Rhinolophus ferrumequinum: one gene and its partners. The protein of the gene in region 1 purifies or fractionates together with the protein of each later gene. This does not show direct contact. Links are inferred from orthologs where the notes say so. Each region holds a gene or a part of one and is shown in the gene's direction. Other genes may lie near its edges.

Region 1 (7,231 bases):
ATGGACGTGCAGGCCCGAGGACGGCGGCCTGGCTCCGCTCCGACTCTCCTGCCACGGGGGGGACAGCTCAGCCTGGAAGCCGGATCTTGGCTCAGTATCCGGTTGTGGGGTTTGCAGAATTGGCTAACGGAATGATCGCCACTCATTCGATGTAAAACTGGTTCCTGGTTTGTCAGTTTTTTTATGTTTGTACATTAAAAGATTGATACATGAACCGAGTCATTTGAAGGTGATAGCTGTCCCCCTCCAGTGATGGCTTCCTGTGTCTCCCGGGCACTTTGCTCCGTGCCCGGTGCCCGCTGCAGGCTTTTCAATCACTGGCCCGCTCCTGGCTCACACCAACCCTGTCAGGTGGTTGTTGCTCCATTTACAGGGGAGAATGTTAGGTACTGGGGTACAGGGGCTGCCCCAGGTCTGGTTCCACTGCCCAGGCCCTCAGCTCTGCCCTGGTGAGACGGGACACGCCTGCCCCTGGAGCACACCTGCTCTGCGTCCTGTGCGACACGAGCAGTTTGTGATGGGTGCAGGTTCTTCAGCCATTTCCCGGCCTCTCCGCCAGCTCCTTTCCCCTTTCGTGCCACCAAAAAGGTGAATCTTGGGGCTGGCAGAGCTCAGGTGCCCCCTAGGCTGACGGAACACCCTTTTGCTCCCTAGAGAAATCTTCCAGGTGATGCAACACATCACCGTCCCGTCTGTGTGTGAATACCTCGCCGCTTTATGTGACTAACTGTCCATTCTCTTTTCAATTTTACTTTTGCAGTTTTATTGAGATATAATTGACATATAATTGACTATCCAATTTGTTGGTGAACAACCCAAATTAAGAGAAAGTGGTGTGGGCCGGCCCAGTGGTTCAGGCAGTTGGAGCTCCGTGCTCCTAACTCCGAAGGCGGTTCGATTCCCACATGGGCCAGTGGGCTCTCAACCACAAGGTTGCCAGTTCAATTCCTCGAGTCCCGCAAGGGATGGTGGGCAGTGCCTTCTGCAACTAAGATTGAACACGGCACCTTGAGCTGAGCTGCTGCTGAGCTCCCGAATGGCTCGGTTGGAGCACATCCTCTCAACCAGTAGGTTGCCGGTTCGATTCCTCGACTCCCGCAAGGGATGGTGGGCAGCGCCCCCTGCAACTAGCAATGGCAACAGGACCTGGAGCTGAGCTGTGTCCTCCACAACTAAGACTGAAAGGACAACAACTTGATTTGGGAAAAAGCCCTGGAAGTACACACTGTTCCCCAATGAAGTCCTGTTCCCCTTCCCCAATAAAAAGAAAAGAAAAGAAAGAGAACATGGGGCGTGGTTTTTTATTAAATTAATTAATTTATTTTTTGAGCCTCTTAAATAGAATTTTAAAATCTTTAAGTCATTCAAGTACATGATTCCAAAAGTGCCATCCAGGCAGGAAAGCAGGGACAATACTGAAGTCGGTGGACCCATCCCGCGTCCAGCCCCGTATTCTGCTCCCCAGAGGCAGCCGCCGAGCAGGTTCTGGGCTCTCCTGCCAGGCGGTCTGCGTGCGCACACGGGGTGTCTCTGTCGCACTCACACCGGTGCTGCCGCTTTGCTCTGGCTGCTGTGACTCGCTGTGTCTTAGAGAGGGCTCCGTACTGCCACACACAGGATTAGAAACAGCCAGGTAGCCTCCTGACTCCTTTCCGTATATGAATCCCCTACTCCTTGCAACCACTGCGAGGCAGGTACACCTACTCTCCCCAGGAACAGAGGCTCAGGCAGGACCTCCTGTCTCCTAGTCACTGGCTGGACCTCCTCCCTGTTGTGACGCCTCTCAGTGCCCTAGATGTGTCACCCCGCCAGCCCTTGCTGTGCAGAAAGCTGAGAAAATGCGTATTTGGGTGTTTCAGGCAGGCAAGGAGAAGGGGGTGGGATGGGTTTGGGGTGAACCATCCAGCGATGTCTGCCCCAGGCAGGAAGCCTCGTGTCCCCTCTGAGAGGGCAGTGTCCTTACACTGTGCCCCGTGGTCTTACAGCTGCAACTGGGGTCTGAGTCGTTAGATGGGAGCAGGTTTCTCCGGAGAACTGTCTTGCTTGCAGTTGTTAATAGTGTCTGAAGTTCTGTACCGTGTGGCTGGCGCTCTGTAAAGAATACACTCACTAGATGAAACAGAAATCCAGTTAGCAGGCTTTGCTGCAGGTGACAGAAATCCAGCTTGAAGTGGTTTAAGCAAAAAGGGGCGTTTTGTTGGTTGGCGTCTGTGGTGGCTTCTGAATCCCGGAGTGAGCCAGTTCACTCTGCCTGAGGCCACAGTTCTTAGTCACTCTGACCCACCTGGGTGCGGGCAGACTTGAAATGACTCAGACAAGCATTGCTCCTACACAGTGCGTCCTTGGGAGTTTCTCACCGTAAAGAAGGGAACTTGGTGGCTGGGGAGCTCTGTCTCAGCATCCAGATCTGGCTGGTGAGAGCCCACAGTGGGCCCAGGACCTGGCGCCTTAGCCACGTCGACGCCCTGAGCCGCTGTCCAGCACACCTGGGCGGCTGCAGTGGCGGGGCAGGTCGAGCTGGCTCATCTCCGGGGCAGCGTCTGAGGAGCTGCAGGGCTGGGGAGCTGCAGTGGCACTGGCAGTGGGGGGACAATATGTCCAGAGGCCTGCTGGTTTCAAAACAGGTGTCAGCAGAATGCTCTCCCAGCCTGGACCCATTCCCGTAAGTCCATGGTCACAGAAGCACTTGTCGAGCCCCCAGGGGCGGCGCTGTGCTTTTGTAGACCGCGCCCTGCTGCCCTTCAGGGCAGGGAAGATAGAGCCGGCTCATGCTGCGTCGCTCAGTCATGCAGTGAACAGTTAGTTCCCTGAGCCTCTGCCGAGTGCCAGGCACTGCCCTGGGTCCCGGAGGCACAGTGGAGAAGGAGATGGAGCCAGGCCCTGCCCGTCGGGAGCGGACAGCTTAGTGGGAGACACACGAGCGGTCTCTCGTGGAGGCTGAGAGCTGCGTCCCAAAGGCCATCACAGTGCTGAAGGGCGTGGGCGCTGGACATGGCAGATCAGCTCCCAGCTCTGCACGTCCGGACAAGCTGTCTCCCCGACGAACCTCAGATGTCTCGTCCATCAAATGGGGAACATGTATAGGGACTGTGAAGGTCAGTTCCGTGCACGGTGGGATTCGGCTGTCTTGCTTTTTGCCACCAGTGAATTAGAATTTAAATTCTTTGAGAAGTGGAACCAGAGCAAGTCTCCATAACTGACGATTTTTGCTGGCATGGTTTCTGTCTATTGGAGCCTCTGGAAAGGGAGACAACATGAAAAGAGAGTCAATCCTTGGATGGAAATACACATTTGGAATTTGAAAAAGCAGTCGAATTGCTATTGAGCCCTTGCTGAATGAAATCTAATGTCTGAGCCAGACTGGTTGATGGCTGTCCAGTCGGATGTGTGTATTTCTGAGTGGGTCAGTTTGGACTCAGACTGACAAGATGAAAAGGAAGCCTCGCTTCTCACTTGGGCTTGGACCATGGCTGTCTGGCACTCAGCTTCTGCCTCTGCTGCTGCAGAAGAAAAGCCGCTGGCTCCCTGGGAATCCCGAATTCACTGATCCTGGTTGGTGGGGCCTGACTGGAAGCTGAAAACAGACCGGCCGCCATGCTCTGTGCCTGCTTCCCCGGGATCTGCGCGGGACTGGACTAGGCCCAGGACCACAGGAGACCTAGGACCTTTCGGAATCATGGACACACACATCGCAGCTGCCAGCTGGACCATCTGGGTCACATACAGATGCCCACAGCAAAGGGTTTGTTCTCTGATGGGACCCTTGAAATCAAGCTGCTGACCGGCCGTTTCTCTCTGCTGCAGAGGCGAATTGCATCCTGAGTTGTGATCCCTGCCAAAAGCTGCCAATCGGGGGAGGCCACATCGTGGGGACTGTGACCCCTCCTCCTGCTTTTGACACATGAGCCTCTGGGCCCCCTCTGGGGAACAGCTCACTGTTCTGCTTCTGGATTATTTGCAACTTGGCACAGCGGCCAATGGCCTGACTCTGCCTCCCCACTTTCCCTGGAACAGACACTGGGTAAGGTAGGTTGATTACTCCAGTGTGGCTGTTTCTAGGAGGCGATTCGTCTTTTCTAGGCTGCTCTCTGGATAAAAGGGGGAGGAGGTTATGGAGAAGCTTTTTGAAATTGTTGAGAATTCAGGATTTCATCCTCTCTGAGTCTGCGCAGGCTGCTGTAACCAAATAGCGCAGACGGGAGGGCTTCAACCGCAGAGATTGATTGTCTCTCAGTTCTAGAGGCCGGAAGTCCAAGATCAAGGTGTCAGCAAGTTTGGCTTCTCTTGAGGCCTCTGTCCTTGGTTTCTCCTGTGTCCTCACGTGGTCACCCCTCTGTCTGTGCGTCTGTGTCCTGCGCTCTTCTAAGGACACCTGTCATATTGGATTAGGGCTACCCTAAGGACCCCGTTTTATCTTAGGCACCGCTCTAAAGGCCCCATCTCCAATACAGTCCTGTTCTGAGTTATTGGGGTTGGGGCTGCAGCACGTGAATTTTGGGGGACAACAATTCAGTGCATAGCACATCTTGACCAATTCCTGAACACGTCTTTCTGGTTACTTGCTTTTATGCCTTTTGCGCACAGTCCTTCCAGATGGAAGGCCTGGATTCGAGTAAGAGGTGACTGACAAATGCAGACTTAGGATTGCGGATGGGCCGGACACGCTGCTTTTGTAACAGTGGAGCAAAAGCAAAAACCTGGCCCCGGGGAGCCTTGGGCAGGTGGAGGGCATTTCATATCTTTGTTCTGCAGAACTCCTCCTGGAAGCCCTCCCTTGAGCACGACCTGGGGGGCACAGCTGGCAGCACCATGACCTTACTGTCCACGCAGATCCCCTCCAGGTGCCATCCACACTCATGTGATGGATAAACTGGTATCCTGGGCAAGCAACACTGTGTGGAACTGGCTCCCATTGGGCTCCCGCAGGCTCCCCATATGCAGTCCCTCGGAAACCGAGGACTGGACCAGTTTCTCAGACTGGACTGGCAACCCCAGGGCAGGGCCCCATGATAGGAGGGAGGCGTCCCGGGGGACCTATGAACCTCTGCTGCCTGACTAGTGTACGTCCCTCCTGGGGTACCCTAACATCCCCAGCTCGTTTCTGGGGGGCTGCATGTGTCCTCTGGGTCACACTGTGTGTGCCCATCACCATGCTGGTTCAGGCTGCAGGTCAGCCCGGACTCCCTGGCCACAGCTGTGCTGTACCGGCCTCAGTGCCTGGGGTAAAACGACTCCCAGAGACCAAGGAGCAGGCCACCTGGCTTTCGAAGGTGGGCTTTTATGGTGAGCGGGGTTCTTTGATTTTAACTGGCTAATCCAGGACCCTAAGAGGTACTGAGATCAGTCCTGCAGGTTGGCCTGACCCTTCTGTGTGATCCTGGTGCAAAGGCACCTGGGCCAAGGGGTGAGCTTGCAGAAAAGGTAACAGCAGGCCTGAGGCTGCTCTCCTTACGAAGGCCTGCTGCGGGTTGGCCCTCGGCTGGCGCCTGGGAACTTGGACTGGGGGAGGCTTCTCACCGTTCCCTACAGGACGAGCAGCTCACTCTGCCTGAGCTGTGTGTGTAGACTGTGGTTTTGTTGAATACCTGCTTTCCTGTGGTAATCTGGAATCCGGTGTGCCCGGCAGGGGGCGCTACGTGAGCAGCCCCGGTAAAGCCCTGGGCACCGAGTCAGCTCCCCTGGTAGACACCATTTGGCATGTGTGGTCACAGCTCATTGCTGGGGAATTCAACATGTGTGACCCCACTGGGAGAGAACTCCGGGGAGCCTGTGCCTGCTTCCCTCCGGACTTGGCTTTCTGTGCCTTTCCCCTGGCTGATTTTGCTTCCTAGTCTTTCGCTGTAATGTCATCAAACGAGGAGGTGGCCTTGGGGACCCCCAACACAGGGCACAGGGGACTTCTGGGTGTCAGCAGCGTTCTTTCTCAGTCTGTTTACATGGGTGTGTCCAGTGTGTGAAACGTCGCCGAGCTGTGCAATTATGATATGTACACCTTTTCTGTACGTAGAATCAACTTCAACAAAAAGATGAAATAGAAGACTACACACCACGAGGATAAAGAATAATAACTTAATTTTTTGTTTAAACTCCCTTTTATTCAGCAAACGTTTGTCACCCCTTTTTACCTGGCGTTGCTCTGGGAGCCTGGGACATGGGGTAGGAGGGACGTCATCACCTCCTCTCAGTTTGTTGGGAGGCAGCTAAAGAGCGACTCAGAACGTGGGGGTTCTTGTTAGGCTCCATCAAACGCCTCGTGGGGCGCTAGGGACACAGAGAAGGGCTTCTGACTTGGGTGATTTGCCAGGGTTGCCACTCATGTATCTATGGAAGCCAGACAGTCAAAGGGGCAAAGGGGCCACAGCGGGGACCAGTGACAAGCTGGGAAAGTATGGAGGCATAGCATTGCCAGAGCTGCTAGCTTTTTTCAGGAAAAGCCACAGACCTGGATTTTTATGTGAGCTCTGTTGATTTTTGAGTGCTGTAAAATGAGTCATTTTAAAAAGGGAGGAGCCAGAGTTGGCCTCGGCCTACCGGTTGCCAGGCACTGTGCCAACCGGTCTGCTCCCTGGGCACTGGGAAATCCAGCCTTGAGCAAGCCAGACCTGCTGGCACGGTGGAGCCCTGCACGGTGCTTCTGAAACCTGTGTGTGTGTAGGACTCGTTAGGCAGATGGAAAGGCAGGTTCTCCCGGCAGGTCTGCCCTGGGCCTTGAGTGGGGTCTAACAAGCTCCCAGGTGAGGGTGATCCCGGCGGCCCCTGCACCGCGGGTTAAGTAGAGCTGCTCCGTAAGCCAGAAGGTTCCAGGAGCAGCCAGTGCTGGCAGGACGGGAGGAGGGGCCTTGCCCTGAACGTGCAAATTCCTGGCCAGCATCCTGGTTTTGCTTCGGTTTTAGTTTATTTGGGGTGTCGCAGGAGAGAGCTGATGGCGTGGGAGGCTTGTGCCAAGGCTCTCCCAGGCTACCTCTTGGCGCTGCCCGGTCTGTATCCGGAGGTTAAGTTCTAGAAGGCGGGTGGGTGTGGAGGAAGGTGTAGGGAAGCTTCCTGGAGGAGGTGCCTGTGAGCGCAGGAGCGTCCCAGGCGGCGGAGAAAGGGAGAAACCCCCCACTCCCGCTCTCCTCGGGTTGGCTGCCCAGCCACCCCACGTGGCTGCTGTGGGTGAGCCCCCGTCACTCAAGGTCGTGTGTCCTGCCCCGACCCCCCCAGCCCGCCTGCGTGAGGTTAAAAGGCTGCT
Region 2 (7,596 bases), on another chromosome or scaffold:
AAAAGAGGAAATTGTGAGGTAGCAGTTACAGTTGAAAATGGGAGGTGGACACGTTTCTTTTCAACCTAGCTGTAAAACGTGTGTCACCTTTGTAGTCCTAAAGTGAATTGAAGATAGGTGCCCTGTTTTCATGTAGGGTTAAAGACTTAGGGCACTAACCTGAGCGTCTATAGACACCTGAGCACAGTAATAGCAAGTGAATTCCTCTGTTATTATTTCCAAACTATCGTTTCTCAGGGCAGTTGGACCTTAACTTATCCATCTGTGAATTTAAAATCTGTTGATGTGTGCTTAAATTTTATAATATGAATATGTAACCTATTATCCTAATTTAAAATAAGTCTTTTCAGCATTAAAAGATTACACAGTAGTCAGTTTTATTGTTTGTGAGGTTATTATTTAACATAGTAAAATACATGTTATGTTCTTGTCTATTTCTGGTCAAATAATGAAATACCATCAATCTCTAAGTTCTGTAATTTTAAAAAACAAAACTCAGTGTTGATTCTTGCTTCAATCAAATGACAGTCACAGTGATCCATCATCTGTGAATTTTAGGGAGAACCACCAAAGTAAATTTTAGGGAGAACCACCAAAATTGGCTAACCTTTCCAGTTGGAACTCTGCTTTAGGAAATAGTAGGGGATTTCTTCTATATTTTATTGTGTATAATTGATATGTCAGGGCCTAGATTCCGTGTTTCCCTGAAAATAAGATCTAGCCGGACAATCAGCTCTAATGCATCTTTTGGAGCAAAAATTAATATAAGACCCAGTCTATTATATTATATTAATTATATTAATTATATTATATTATATTATATTATATTATATTATATAAGATGCGGTCTTATAGTAAAATAAGATCAGGTCTTATATTAATTTTTGCTCCAAAAGATGCATTAGAGCTGATTGTCTGGCTAGGTCTTAATTTCAGAGAAACACGGTAGTCTCAAAATAGGAAATTATCTTACTGGTTTCACCAGTTGGGCAATTTATTCTTCCATTTATATATCTGTTTATTATTTATTTGGTCATTATTGTTCAAATGAAAAGAAAGGGGGTTGTCATTAGAAGACCACATAGTGATCCCATGGCATTTCTCCTACTTTCTTATTCTTGCCATTGTGGTTTTTCCATTTCTATGCCTTTGACCCCTTTGAGAAGCTTCCCATTTGATGACCTGAAGAAAGCTCATTTGTACACATATTATTAGGTTGGTGCAAAAGTAATTGCAGTTTAAAAGGTTAAAAATAATTGTGAAAACAGCAATTACTTTTGCACCAACCTAACAGAATAGGATGGGCAGTAACAAACATACTCCCAAATTTCAGTGGCTTAATAATACAAAGCGCTATTTCTTATTGATATCACAGACTAACGTAGATCAGGCGATCTTCCTCAATCTGGTAATTATGCCACCTGGACTAGGAGGCTTCCAAGAGCATGTTAAGAGAAAAGAGGTCTGGACATCTCGGGATGCTTTTAAGGTCTAATCTTAGAAGTAGTTTATATCACTTCTCTTAAATCCTGTTGGCCAGAACTCATTCTCATTGTCCCAAATAGCTATGTAGTGGTTGTTTTTTCCCCCAGCCTCTCATGCCTGGAATTTCTGCCACAGTCCATCCTTCTAGTCACCAAATATCTCTTTGCTTCTTTCCCCCTCACATACTCCTATAACACAGTTCCTTCCTGAGGGAGAAATCCCAAATCCTATTCCATCACTGCAACCAGTCCCAAATCCAAGATCTCTAGGTGATGCACAGTAGTGTCTGTCATGTTTAGATATGACTTCTCTTGAGATTTGAGAACCAGTGAATAAATAAGGCAAGTTAACTGTATCTCTTGCCCTTGTCCCCCCATCCCACCCATTTCTCAGTGGTGGAATTAGGACAGCAGTGCAGTCACTGGTTCTTGGCAATTCTGAAATCTGTGGTCAAATATTGTGGACTCCTAACTCCTTGTGTGTAGGAAGTGACTTGAATGGGCAGATTGTTTTCTGGAAGTAACACCTTTGTTCATTGTTCTTCCTGGCCCCTGGCTCTGTCCAAGGAGTTCTTTCTTTTTCATTACCTAGACCACATGGAAAATGGGTACTGGGAGGCATGCCCTTCTTAGGGTTGTACAGCCTTTTAAATCTGCTTCCTGCTCACAGGAGGTTGAGTGCCAGAGGTTGTTTTAAGCTCATTCATAAGCCTTTGTTGTCTATATATTTGGTTTCTTTGACCATCTACTCCCCACAACATTTGGCAGGCAGAAAAAGGAAAATACTTGGTAGGAGTCTGTTTGCTTCTAGTCAGTCCCACATGCATCTGTGCTTTCTATACATGGTTACCAAGTTCTTTCCTTTGTCCTCATGCAACTGCCTCTCTCAACTCAGTGGCAGCTATGTGGAGGCCATCTGAAATAGACTGATTGAAAGGCTACCTTCACTTCAGTCTGTTCTTTGTCATAGGGCTGAGTCCCTCTGTTTACCGAGTTTTATTGGGTTTCTCAGAATTTCTTCAGTGTTAACCCTTACTGTTTAGATTCAGAAGCAACTTGATTTTCCAATCCTGCAAGGTTCTGAATTTTTTATTCTCTCCATTTTTATTTTTCCTCTCAAATCAGCCACTTCTGGCCTGAGCTCATGTTTCCTAAAGTATATTCCCAAAGCAGCTAGTAGTAAACACGTACTATAACTTTTCCCCAGCTACCTCTCCTAGAACCTCAAGTTCATTAGACTGTTTCCAAGTTACTACTGCCTTTTATTTCCACCTGTCAGCCTCTAGTGCCAGCCTTTGCCTCCAGACTAAGCCAGTGCTATGTGTTTCAATTTTTATTACCGCAGCATTAGTACCACTTCAGGGTACTATTTTCTGTTAGGGTAATGCTAGCTGTGGTAATAAATTCTTCCCAAAATTTATAATGGCTCAAACATAATAAACGTGTATTTCTTTATCAGATAATAGTCCTGAGCAGTACCAGGTCAGAAAATGGCAGGGGTGGTGATGGGTGAATAATTCTACTGTACCCAGTCATTCACGGACTCTCAGGCTGACAGAATCTGCTCTCTTGAACACAAAGCTGAAACTAAAGCTAAGGTTTTTGCTTCAAGTTATACAGCTTGTCAGTGGAGGTTCCAGGATTGTCATCACTTGGTTCTGGCTCCAAAATCCATGTCTTTTCTACCACACACTGTATCTAGGTCTGAAAAGACACCTGAACCAGCTACCTAGGCAAAGTTTGCATTCTGTCTCTACTTATCCTGTACCAAATGGTAAATTGATGATTGCCTAACACACATTTAGTTACTGTGAATACATTACCTCCTTATGTTGAGCTGAAGATGTTCCCCTGTAACTTATTTCTAGGGCTTCTCCTATTTCTTGGGACCATGCAAAATAAACATTATCCCTTTATCATTTTGTGAAGACCACTTGCCTGCCCTTTCTGTTCATTTTGAGTGAAACTTCCCGTTCTTTCACTTACACCTTAAGATTTTGAATACTGATTGCTTATATTTAGACAGCTTCTACTTTGCCTAAGTCCCTTTTATAGTATGAAGGCCAAAGCTGAACTAGATTTTTGGTGTGAGGTCTGACCAAGTAGATGCTCCTCTGCAGACAAGATTTTTGTACTAAAGCATGTTTGTTTTCCTAGGGTGATACAATTCTGGAGACTGGAGAAGTAATTCCACCAATGAAAGCATTTCCTGATCAACATCACTGAAGATTACTTTAAAATTTCAAAGGCATATAAGCCCAAGTTTTGTTGCTACATTACCATATTTACTGAATATATTTTCTGAAAAAGTAACTTTATAATAAAGTTTACTCTCAGATATGTATTGTTTTATTTCTTCCTAAACACTATACAATTTGAGACTGAATTATTTAACAATAAATGAAAACTGGATGTGCTAAAAAATGATATGAACAACCAACTACTTTTTCTGGCCATTCTTGACTTGGAAAACAGGATATAGAAAAATAGTCACTTTTCTTTTTTTTACATAGTACTTAATCTAGTCTGGTGTGTAGGTATGGAACAGAATGAAATGTTGCAATAAATATAAGAATAGAAATTCCACACACTTTTGTTTTAAGGGTGGTTTTCTGGGGCATTTAAAACGTATTTTAGACATTCTTAAGTTGAAAAGCATGTTATCCCATGTATGATCTGATACTCAAAGGCTGTCGGATCTAGGTTGCTTTGTTATATAAGAATGTAAAAGACAAACCTAAATATTTGAAAAATTAGCATATTAGATCGGTTATTATAAAGGACTGTATGAAAAAATAAAATTGGAAACTATCATGGATTTTACTTTAAATCAAGACACATGCCAGAGAAGTATTTGCGTAGAATAAAATCTAGAGGAATTACAAATTTTCATTCATTCCGAAGATTTTGTCTGGGTACGCCTTCCTTAGCTGTCGTCGAGCGGCTACTGTTGATGCATAGAGGACGTATCCCCAGGAGAGTAATACTATCGCAAGGAGCAACTAAAAAAAAAAAAAAATGCAAGAGGCGAAGTAAATGCAAAAAAATTCATTCTAATGTGAGCAGCACCTCCTCCCCGCCCCCCATAGGTTGCCATGCACGTTGCTAAGGCGGAAATTACAGCGACAAAAGAATGGGATTCCAAGGCACGTACACCCAGCTGTCCTTACGTAAGCAGCGGAAGAGCGTATCCTCCAGGAAGAGGCGGAGTCGAGGTGAGGGAGTGAAATGCTTAATTCAGGAATGGATTTTGGAGTTTCTGGGCGCTGAGAGGAATAGGGGGGCTTCGCCTGCGGGCCTACGGAGTCGACACTGTGGGGCCTCGCCAGACCCGGGACCTACCATTGAATAAATCCAGTCCAGGGTGCGGCGACTCACTGGCTTCATGGTAAGGAGGCGACGGCAGTCCGCGGGCACGGGCAGAACCTGCAGGCCCTAGAGTAACCTCCCGGGCGGCGGCTGCCGGGCGGCGGCGGCGGCGGCGGTGGCGGTGGCGGCGACGACGGCCATCTTTCAGCCGGGCACAAACGCCCGCCCACTCGCCTCCAGGAGCGTTTCCCACCGACATGGCCGGCCTCTTCCGCCCGGAGCTGGGGGCAGGCTCACGTGATCCGGGGCCTAGCCCGCCTTTCAGCGAGGGGATGGGATAAACGGGAAAATGTGTTTTGAAATTACTTTTTTTTTTTTTTTGCCACTTAAATAAGCGTATCTCGTCAATTGGTCTTTCCGTTGCAGTAAATGTTAATGCAGGATATTATACCGTCGTGTGCATTTAAAAGTGTATTTGAAAAACTAATCCGTATTTTAAATACTGCACCGGCGTCTAACGCTGGAAGAATTAACGTTTCTTCTTAAGTCTGTTCCGACATTATATTGATAGAGGTTCGTATATTCATTTTTGATGTAAACAAGAATACTACTCACTTTTATATTAACAGTGACGAATCATTGTGGGAATCCCTGTTAATTGAACCCTTCTTCAAGAAACAAATCTTTCAGAACGCAATGGCTTCTTGATGTAAATAACTTCTGAGAATAACTTGGCACCGTTAACTGTCATAATGTACCTGCCAATCAGCAAGTGTTTGTTGAGCGTTTATAATATGTGCCCAGAACGGTAGCGCGTATCAAATATGAAGCCAAAGGACGGCGGTTTGGCACTTGGCAGGTTGTACCAAGTTCAACTTGAGAATGTTTGGGACGCTCGTATCTGAGGCCAGAGGGTAGAATGGGGCAACGGGCCGCTTTAGGCTCAGACGTTCTTTCTCTGTACATCTCATAATGTCATCTAAATAGGGTTTTAATCCTGATTTCGGGGCGTGGGGAAAGGGGAAAGCAGTCTTTTGAGAGAAAAACATTGTTTTGGGAAGATTTCAAGGCTCTTCTCTTAGGTAATCCCTGTTTATCCTCAGACTGGAGTAGATGTCTCTCTCAAGACTGTAGGATACTGGTTGGGCTCTGGCTTTGGATTCCACTCGAATCCCGGTGATATTACCAAGCTGTGCAATCGGAAGTAAAGTCACTTCACCTCCATGTTACTCGGTTCTTTTATATACTAGAGATCATTTTAGTAACTTCTCGCAGTTTAGTGGGGTTTAAATGAGGCCGAGTTGGTTATCGTATTTTCCAGGTAAGTTAGGAGGGAGCATTAAGTTAGTGCCCCTTCAACCCTCAGAGATTAGTAATAACAAGAATCATGACGGTGATGATAGTGACTTCTGCCTCTGAGGGGTCACGTCGCTCTGATTCCTGGGAGTGGACGTTGGGGGAAGGACCCGGGCTCGGGCCGAGCACGTAGGCCCCTCCTTCCTCGCCGGCGCCCTTCCACTGCGCATGCGTTACGTTGGTGGGTGTTGTGTTTTGACGCGCCGAGGGCCGCGGGGTGGGTTTTGCTTCTACCGCCGCCCCCAAGCTGCCATTGGTGATGAACGCTTTACGTCACAGGGGTCGCAGCAGCCGCCGGGGTCTCCGCTGTCTCGCGAGGAGGGTGAAGCGCCCCCGCCTGCTCCCGCTCCTGAGGCCCGGCGGAGAAGTCGCCGGGTACGCCTTCGCGGATCCTGTCGTCACCGCCCTAGCTTCCTGGGCCGCCGGGAGCTTGCCACGAGCGCCCCAGCTCGGCCTGCGCCGGCATCCTCCGAGGTGAGTGAGATCAGGAACAATGGGGCGCGGGGGTCGGAAGGGCTGGGCCAGCTGGAGCTACCGTCTGGAGCGAGGCCCAGCGACGAGGGAGCTGAGAGGCCGTCCGGGCCTCAGTGGGGCAGGGGCCCCGGCGGGCGGACGGCACCTGCGGCGCACCTGTAGATTTGTGCCGGTGGGCGGGGGAGGGCTACGTTTCCAAGAAGCGCTCCCGAGGGCCGCGAGCCTAGCCGTGTACTGGAAAGAGCTTGGTCTCGGGGGAAAAAAACTCAACACAAAACGTTCGAGTCTGAATGGTGGCACCTGCACTGTCAGAGGTGTGACCTTGAATGGGCCCTCTAATCTCTCTGATCCTGTCTGTATAATGGGAATAACAGTATTTCAGTTCGTTGTGATTATGTAATGCACGTGGTGATTGTCTTAGATCTTGGCCGGTGGCAGTTTTTGGCCTAAGGAAGGGACTGTCACCGTGACTGTTGGAGTTGTCTGCGCAGTGCTAAACATTGTGTGCTGGGCTCACCTGCCGTGATTTATTCATCCAGCGAGTCAGTGCAGCTTTCCTGGTGGGCTGCAGATGCCTCGACTTACATGAGCAAATAGTGATTTAGGAGGAAAATGAATAGACTTTTTGGTAGGTAATTTCAAGATTAAGGTAAATTAACAAAGAGCTGTCCGTTAATAGTGATGAGGGCTGGGGGTTTTTAATGAGTCAATGACATGAAAAGCTATGCACTCAGTCAAAGTAATCTCGCTTGTTTGAAACGAGTGACTTTAGAGGGGAATGGTTCCCAAGCAATTTTTTTTATTGCTGGAATTGGAATTAAATTTTACAGGATCTGATCAATAGATCCTAAAACTTCTATATGATCTTTTGGAATTTATTGCATTGCAGTTCAGAGTGATTTCTTTAAGGTCACAAGAGGTAGAACCCAGATTATTTTTAATACTTGGAGATGTATTTCTAGTTTATCCACTT
Region 3 (7,457 bases), on another chromosome or scaffold:
CCACTCTCTGTTTGCAGGCCAACTTAGCAAGAGTTCTGCCACTCACTCTGCTTCCTCACCTCCATTCATGCCCTTGCAGTCTCACTTCTACCCCTTTCGTATTCCTGAAACTTGTTCCACCATGTTCAGTCTCTATCCTCCTTGACAGCTCTGCAGCATTCACCATTGACAACAATTAGTTCTAGAATCTTCTCTTGACTTTTCAGGTTCTCCTCCTATTTCTCTGGTTATAATTTCCCAGTCTCTCCCATGGCATTTTCCTTCTCAGCTTCCCGTTAAATGTTGATATTCCCCAGCGTTTTATGCTTGGACCTGCCTTCTTCTTTTTCTTCAGATGCTTTTTGAGTGACTGCATCTACTTCCAAAACTTCCCCACCATCTCTTGTGAGGATTTTTCAATCTGTTTCTGCTGCCCAAATCTCTCCTAAACTTGAGAAGAAAAAAATCCTGTTAATTTCAACACACCTTTGCTTATCCAATTTTTTAAATAGAGTGGTTTCATTTTATAATGTTCTTGAAATATGTTTTGCTCAAAACCTTGGAGCTGAAGACTTAGGTTATTCAATGTCTAGAAAATGTCCACCACATAACCCACTTAGTAAAGGTTGTTCTCATTGTAAATCAATCAGATAAATCACACTTACTGTTTTGTTAGGAAAAAAATAATCCAACTTTGTTTTTCAGTTCAAACAAACATGGTAATACCTGTTTCAAGAAATAGTCTAAAAGCCACTGGGAGACAAAATATGGAACACATTTTGTAAAACTGATGATTATAAAAGCAATCAAATAAATATTAAAATCATACATATATAAAATATTAACTAATCAATTTTTATAATAGCTGTAAAACACAAGTAAAATTATATGCAGTTTCTCATTTCTTAATTAACAATATAATGTAGGGTACAGTTAAAATGATGTTATTATGAATTGAGAAGTATTATGGAAGTTTTAAATATTTTTTCAGTACTGTGTGTATGTAATTCTGGTATTCAGCTTTTTGAAAAAATTAAATAAGTATTATATAAAAATAGGTAAAAACTGCCATCAATCCTACTGCTCTCTCCACTAATTTGATAGACATCATGATCAAACTTCTCATATTTTTAAGTAACTAAAGAGGAAGACAAATGACTAAAAATACATTTAGTCATTTATTGTTAAAAGTAATTTATCACAGCTAGCATATAATTTTCTTACTTTGTTAATAAGAGGTAGGATATGTTAAATATTTTGTAAGATGAAGATTAACCGTGTTTGGAAGAAACTTTTTCTAATATGATTTGATAAATATCTTACTGAATATTGCATATCACCTAAAATAAATCATGTAAAAATTTAATCTGCTGACTTTATTCAAAGTAAGTTGAAGTGTTAGTTAGGAAAATATTAGTTAGATTTAAAAGAATCAGTATCATCAACCCATACTGCTACAGCTGTTTGAAGGAATTTTCCTTCTAAGCCAAACATACGTCTCAGGAAAAAGAGCCTTTCTGTTGTAGAGAGTCATTCTGAAATAGCTACATATGAAATGATACGGTATCTAGGATTTGCTTCAAAACTATAAGGGAGTGGTGAGAACTGTGCTTTGCCTCTGTGCTTTACCTCCCAAAGCACAGTCTAAGCAAAAGAAAAACATCAGACAAATCCCAATTGAGAGATGTTTTGCAAAATACCTGAGCAGTATACCTTAAAACTATCAATGTCATCAAAACCAAGGAAAGTCTGAGAAATTTCAAAGAGCAGAGGAGACTAAGCAGACGGGACAACTCAATGTAATGTGGTGTCCTGGATGGGGTCCTGGAAAAGAAAAAGTACATTAGAGGAAAACTAGTGAAATCCAACTAATGTATGGAGTTTAGCTAATAGTACTGTACCAAAGTTAGTTCTTTAGTTGTGACAAATGTACTACAGTAAAGTAAAATGTTAACAGTAGGGGGAAATGGGCACAGAATAATGTATGAGAACTCTGTACTATCTTTTGCAACTTTTAGTATCTAGATAATTTAAAATAAAAATATTAAGATAATAACAATGTAGAGGGAAAAGTAGATGGAGTGTGTGGTTTGGACAGGATTGGCCACACGTTGATGGTTATTGGGGTTATATAATGGGAGTTCATTATATACTATTTAGACTATTATAAAATAAAAATGGCGTTATTTTATTATTCTACATTTGTGTATGTTTGAAATTCTATTATAAGAAGGTTAAGAAAAGAACATATATTGTGTTGGGGGTCCACAAAACCATCCTCAGTTTCAATGATTTGCTAGGACTCGCAGGACTCAATATATAAAATTGTACTCACAGCTATGATTTGTTACAGCTAAAGGGTAGAAGATAAAATCAGCAAAGGGAAAAGGTATATGGGACAGGCAAAGTCCAGAGGAAACTAAGTACAAGCTTCCTAGAGTCCTCTCCCTATGGACTCATATAGAACGCACCAATTTCTCCCCAGCATCAAACCATGACAGTACACATACCACATTTTCTACCAGGAAAGCTCATTAGAAAAGCCCAGAGTTTTTCTTGGTGCTGTTCAATAGGCACTGTCTACCTAGCACATATCAAGATTCCAAATACTACTCAGAAGATGTTCAGCACAAACCACATTGTTTGTACAAACGTTTTAGGCACAGTGAGCCATCCTTATCATTTATGGGAGGTGTCATATGATACCAGTGTAGGGAACTCTTTACCAGTCAAGCTCCCAAATGCTAGCCAGTGCTCAACCTTGCAAGCAGGCCCTTCTAAGGACAGCAGTCTCAGGCCTACACACACACACACACACACACACACACACACACACGGAGGCGTACAACTCCTGGGATATAGCACAGAGCTGCTTCATAACCCACACCTTCCTCCTGAGGTATCCCACAACCCTCACTTGGAGACCTCATCTGCTATTCTGGTCCAGAGGTGATGTCTGAAGGTGGAAGAGAGGACCTGTGAGGTGTGTAAGGTTGAAAAGAGGAAGTCTCAACTTTCTCTCAAATGGGCATAGCTGCAAATTAGCCTGTAATTCTACACTCTTGTTCTTTGCTTTTTTTTTTCCTTTGGTATGTGGGACTTTAGTTTTGAGAAATCTACCCCGAGAATAGAAGATGAAGAGAAGGTAAAAAATGGAAAAGAAAAGAATGAGGCCTTTTGAGAGTATTAGGCAACCTGGTCAGCATACTACTCCTAAATATCTCCTGGATCCATTCCTAGTAGATGAGGGGTGTGAATAGCATGAAGCAGGGTGAGTTTGAGGTTCCTAAAATACATACAAGTAGTGATGTCCACAGGCAGGCAGATTCTGGAGCTGGGGAAGGGTTGAGGGATGGACACAGAGCCTCAAGGGTTCTCATCCTCTTCAAATGAGGTAATACATACAATCTCCCATCCATGACAGTACACTAGCAATGAGCATTTTTGTTAAACCTTGTGAATATCTTGTGAAGTGTGTGTTAAAAGAATTACTATAACTTCTGTCACCCTCTTTGACATTGAAAACATTTTTTTAATGTGCTGAAGGCCTCAAAAATTGAAAGTGGTCCAGGCTTCTCTTAAACTCTTGGAGGCTCAAGAAACAGTATCAGCTGTTGACACACATTTGTAAGTCATCAGCACCCAGATGTTAATTGAAGCCAAGGGACTGAAGGGAGTAGCCCAAGAGAGCTCCTTTATGGGAAAGGAAGGCTCTGGGACTAGAATATTTAAGGGACTCACTGAAGAAGACTTGGCGCTTATAAAGGAGGCTAAACAAGAATGGCCAAAGAGATAGGAGAAAAACCAAGTGAAACGAAGTCGGAGAAAGATGACCAAAGAAAGGGGAAGAAAAATCAGGAGGTCACAAGCAAGGAGTGCGTTGAAGAGAGCAATTAATCAACAGAGTCAAATATTTCGCTGATTTTCCCGGGTCAGCATTGCCAGCATAACTATGCCAACTCCCCATGCCCGGTACTGTGTGTACATCCATGTTCGCTCTTTTAATGTTTTACCCTGGTTTACAGTTTATTTCCTCCGATGAGACGGCCCAAGCTGAGGGTCTGACTCTTACTCATTTTTCTCTTCCATAAAGCCCTACGCTTACTGCTCAATTAATGTCAGTGGAATGATGTGAAGAACATTTGAAAAGCCACACAAACAACGATATGGCCTTTTTAACATGCTCTAGAAGCCAGATTCCCCAGGACCCAACCACACTGCGCAGACGCACAGGCAGACACCCCCCCACACACACACACACACACCCCGTTTCAGCAGGTTTTTGCTTTTGGCGCGAAATCCCCGCTTCGTGGGCGGGACTAAGGGAGAGGTCTCAGCGTTCTTCCGGAAAGTTTGGCGCGAAATCTCCGTGCTCCTGCTTCGCGATTGGCTGCGGCCGGCCCGGGCCACGACGGGCGGAGCTGCGGCGGCGGCGGCGGCGGTAAGCGCAAAGCCGCCGCGTCGGGGAGAGGCGACTCGTGGCGGCCCAGCGTGTCGGCGCCTGCCCCTCGGCGCTGCACAGCCATGGACCTCGCGGCGGCAGCGGAGCCGGGCGCCGGCAGCCAGCGCCTGGAAGTCCGTGACGAGGTGGCGGAGAAGTGCCAGAAGCTCTTCCTGGACTTCTTGGAGGAGTAAGTCCGCGGTCTGCCCTTTCTCGCCGAACTTCCCCGAGCATCCCCTCCCAGCTTTAGGAACCCGGGAAGCCCCGTGCCCGAGGGCAGGGTTAAGGTGTGTGGCCGGCGGTTGTTCCGGAACCGCGATCGCGCGCCTTGGGGAGCGGCCCGAGCCCCAGTTGGGGCTTAGCCAGGCCCCCGCTAGGAGCTAGGACCGGCTGGCTTGGTTTGCAAGGGTGAAATCCATGGCAAACCCTTCCTCAGGCTCTTCTTGTGCCCCAGGCTAAGCGCTTTACTCCACCATTCAGTCTTCACTACCTTAAGGCTGGTGGTCGTGTCGCCCCCGATCACCTGTGCGGAAATTGAGGCCCCGGGACGGTAAGTGACGTCCGGCTACGCCACGCGTGGGCAGGGTCGAGCGAGAAGCCGAACTGGCACTGGAATCATGGCAGACGCCCGAAGGGACTGCACAGCCAGGACCCTGGTGTTGGCACCCAGGTCCCTGGCAACCCGGGAGCCTGTGGAGATGAAAGGACTAGAGTGTTCCCTGTGGTTTAACGTGCTGGGGTGAGGGTGAGCCTTACCCTGCTTAGAAGTAGCTGAACATTCTCCTTTCCGTCCTTTCCTTCCAAACCCCGCCCCCCACTTCTTTTTCCGTTGCCTTCTGGGCTCCTGGCCTCTCGTACCCCCGCTCCCCGGTTCGATGCCACTGCGGCCAGTTAACTGTTCTTAGTGTAGATACTCACTTCTTTATTTGAGAGTGTGGATTCTGCTGCCTCGGGATGAAAGGTAAACATTTTGGAATGTCCTATGAATCCTTTATTTACTTGAAAAATATACATCACATAAAATTTACCACTTAAATGTACCACTGTAAGCTTTTTTAAGTGTAGAGTTCAGTGGCATTAAGTACATTCGCCTTGTTATGCAGCCATTATCACCATCCTTCGCCAGAACTCTTCCCAGACTGAAACTAGGCACCCAATAAACAATTACTCCTTTCCCGGCACCCCCTCAGCACCTGACAACCACCATTCTGTTCTCTGCCTGTGCGGGTGACAATACCTCATGTGCTTGGAATCATTAAGTATGCGTCTTTTTGTGACCAGCTTATTTCACTTAGCATCCATGTTGTAGCGTGTGCCAGAATTTCCTTTTTAAGGCTGAATAATATTCCATTGTATGTATATACCACATTTTCTGTGTCCATTCATATGTCCGTGGACATTTGGGTTGTTTCCACTTTTATTGTGAATAATTCTGTATTACAAAATTGTGATTTACTTAAAACCATAATTTATATTTCCCTACCTTCGGCAATGTTATTCTCTGCGTGACAGATATTCATCCTTCAAAGCTCAGTTAAAGATTCACACCTCCTTTGTGAAACCTGATAAACCGATCAGACAACACCAAACCTTTTTTCCCTTATGTTCCCAAGTTGCCCTTTTCCATTATATCTGGTAATATCGTTTCCAGTATCTTTACCTGTCAGCCACTTCATCTTCAAGGTAAATCCCATCCTTAACCCCACCTAGCCACCACACCACATTACTGAGGTCCTCAATGAATGTTTCATTTCAATGATATCATTACCTTCACTACCTTGCAGTTTACCATGCAGCTAGATGCTAGGGATGATGATGAACAAAACAAATAATCCCTGTCCTTCGTTGGGGAAAAAATGCTAACTCTCTTTAAAAATACCAACTTTGATTTGCCATTGCTTATGGAAAAAGTCCAAATTCTTCACAGCTCCTCTCTTCAGTTTCATCTCCCACAGCCAGCCTGTCATCATCCACCTTCCTTCCAGACCTTTTCTTACTGCCACGTACTTGTAGACATCTGTAACCAGTCTATCTACTGCTTGTTTTTCAGATTTTAAGTCTTTCCAGGCTGAATTCCAGTGCCACCTTTTAGATGCATGAAGCCTTTCTAGATGTTAGGTAGAATTACTTTATGTTCCCCTATCACATTTCTTGCACTTCCCCCATTTTTTTCCTTTTTTCTTCTATTATGGAAAGAACACTTACATGAGATCTACCCTCTTTACAAATTTTTAACTGCAATATATTGTTGAGTATAGGTACAGGGTTGTTGTACAGTAGATCTGTTAGAGTTTATTCATCTTCCTTGAGTGAAACTTTTTACCTGTTGATTAGTACCTCAACGTTTTCCACCTTCCTTCAGCCTGGCAATGACCATCCCACTTTTTGATTGTATGAATTTGACTATTTTAGGTGTCTAATGTAAGTAGAATCATTATTTCACTTAGCATAATGTCCTGAGGGTTCATCCATATTGACACATGTAGCAGAATTTCCTTTTTTAAGGCTGAATAGTATTCCACTGTATGTGCATACCACATTTTTTTAAATCATTTGTGATGGACATTTAGGTTGTCTTGTACCTCTCTTTAGTAGGAGTGTCTCCTGAGAGTGTCAACCCTAAGGCAGGAACAGCACTCATCTGCAGCTTCAGTTACATAGTGCTTTTGCAGAGTCGTTCAGTAAATCTTAACAGAGTTAGAACATGCTGTATTTGAAGGAGGAATTGATTTTGCCTCAAAACTGATCTGCATATTATGTTAAAAGAACGAAAAGCAAATATGTTTGTATGATACTTTTAGAAAAAACACACCAGCTTTATTTTGTGTGTATGTTCCCATTTTTCTGAGGTCTTGGGCAGTGAAGAACCTTATTTCTGTGTATTTTTATTCTGTTCGGTTTTTTCCCCCTTCTTCCGCCTCCCCCGCCACACACACACACACACACACACACACACACACACTCTGGTTCAAGCTGTTGTTTCTCAGTCTAGTTGTGTAGGACACAGCTCCCTGGCCCATGCTGGTCTTACGAGGTT

What was found. The genes of interacting proteins can lie anywhere in the genome.
Region 2: the proteins of PLK1 (region 1) and TOPORS purify together in Homo sapiens (affinity purification with western blotting; 3 studies listed by BioGRID). This does not show direct contact. The link is inferred for Rhinolophus ferrumequinum from reciprocal best matches to the Homo sapiens genes PLK1 and TOPORS.
Region 3: the proteins of PLK1 (region 1) and MCM6 purify together in Homo sapiens (affinity purification with mass spectrometry; 3 studies listed by BioGRID and IntAct, with this or other methods). This does not show direct contact. The link is inferred for Rhinolophus ferrumequinum from reciprocal best matches to the Homo sapiens genes PLK1 and MCM6.

Annotation. Positions count from the first base shown.
Region 1 is NW_022680357.1:17,556,423-17,563,653, forward strand, and holds the start of PLK1 (serine/threonine-protein kinase PLK1), read left to right. Parts: upstream 1-4,095; 5' UTR 4,096-7,231. UniProt on the Homo sapiens protein: Serine/threonine-protein kinase that performs several important functions throughout M phase of the cell cycle, including the regulation of centrosome maturation and spindle assembly, the removal of cohesins from chromosome arms, the inactivation of anaphase-promoting complex/cyclosome (APC/C) inhibitors, and the regulation of mitotic exit and cytokinesis.
Region 2 is NC_046295.1:49,892,449-49,900,044, reverse strand, and holds the start of TOPORS (E3 ubiquitin-protein ligase Topors), read left to right. Parts: upstream 1-4,516; 5' UTR 4,517-4,579; coding exon 4,580-4,699; exon of another isoform or gene 4,700-4,826; coding exon of another isoform or gene 4,827-5,111; intron 5,112-6,428; coding exon 6,429-6,623; intron 6,624-7,596. Other genes in the region: NDUFB6 (NADH dehydrogenase [ubiquinone] 1 beta subcomplex subunit 6), read left to right, coding at 3,642-3,710; uncharacterized protein LOC117032445, read right to left, coding at 4,374-4,486, 4,827-5,111. UniProt on the Homo sapiens protein: Functions as an E3 ubiquitin-protein ligase and as an E3 SUMO1-protein ligase. Probable tumor suppressor involved in cell growth, cell proliferation and apoptosis that regulates p53/TP53 stability through ubiquitin-dependent degradation.
Region 3 is NC_046291.1:82,501,278-82,508,734, forward strand, and holds the start of MCM6 (DNA replication licensing factor MCM6), read left to right. Parts: upstream 1-4,377; 5' UTR 4,378-4,503; coding exon 4,504-4,610; intron 4,611-7,457. UniProt on the Homo sapiens protein: Acts as a component of the MCM2-7 complex (MCM complex) which is the replicative helicase essential for 'once per cell cycle' DNA replication initiation and elongation in eukaryotic cells.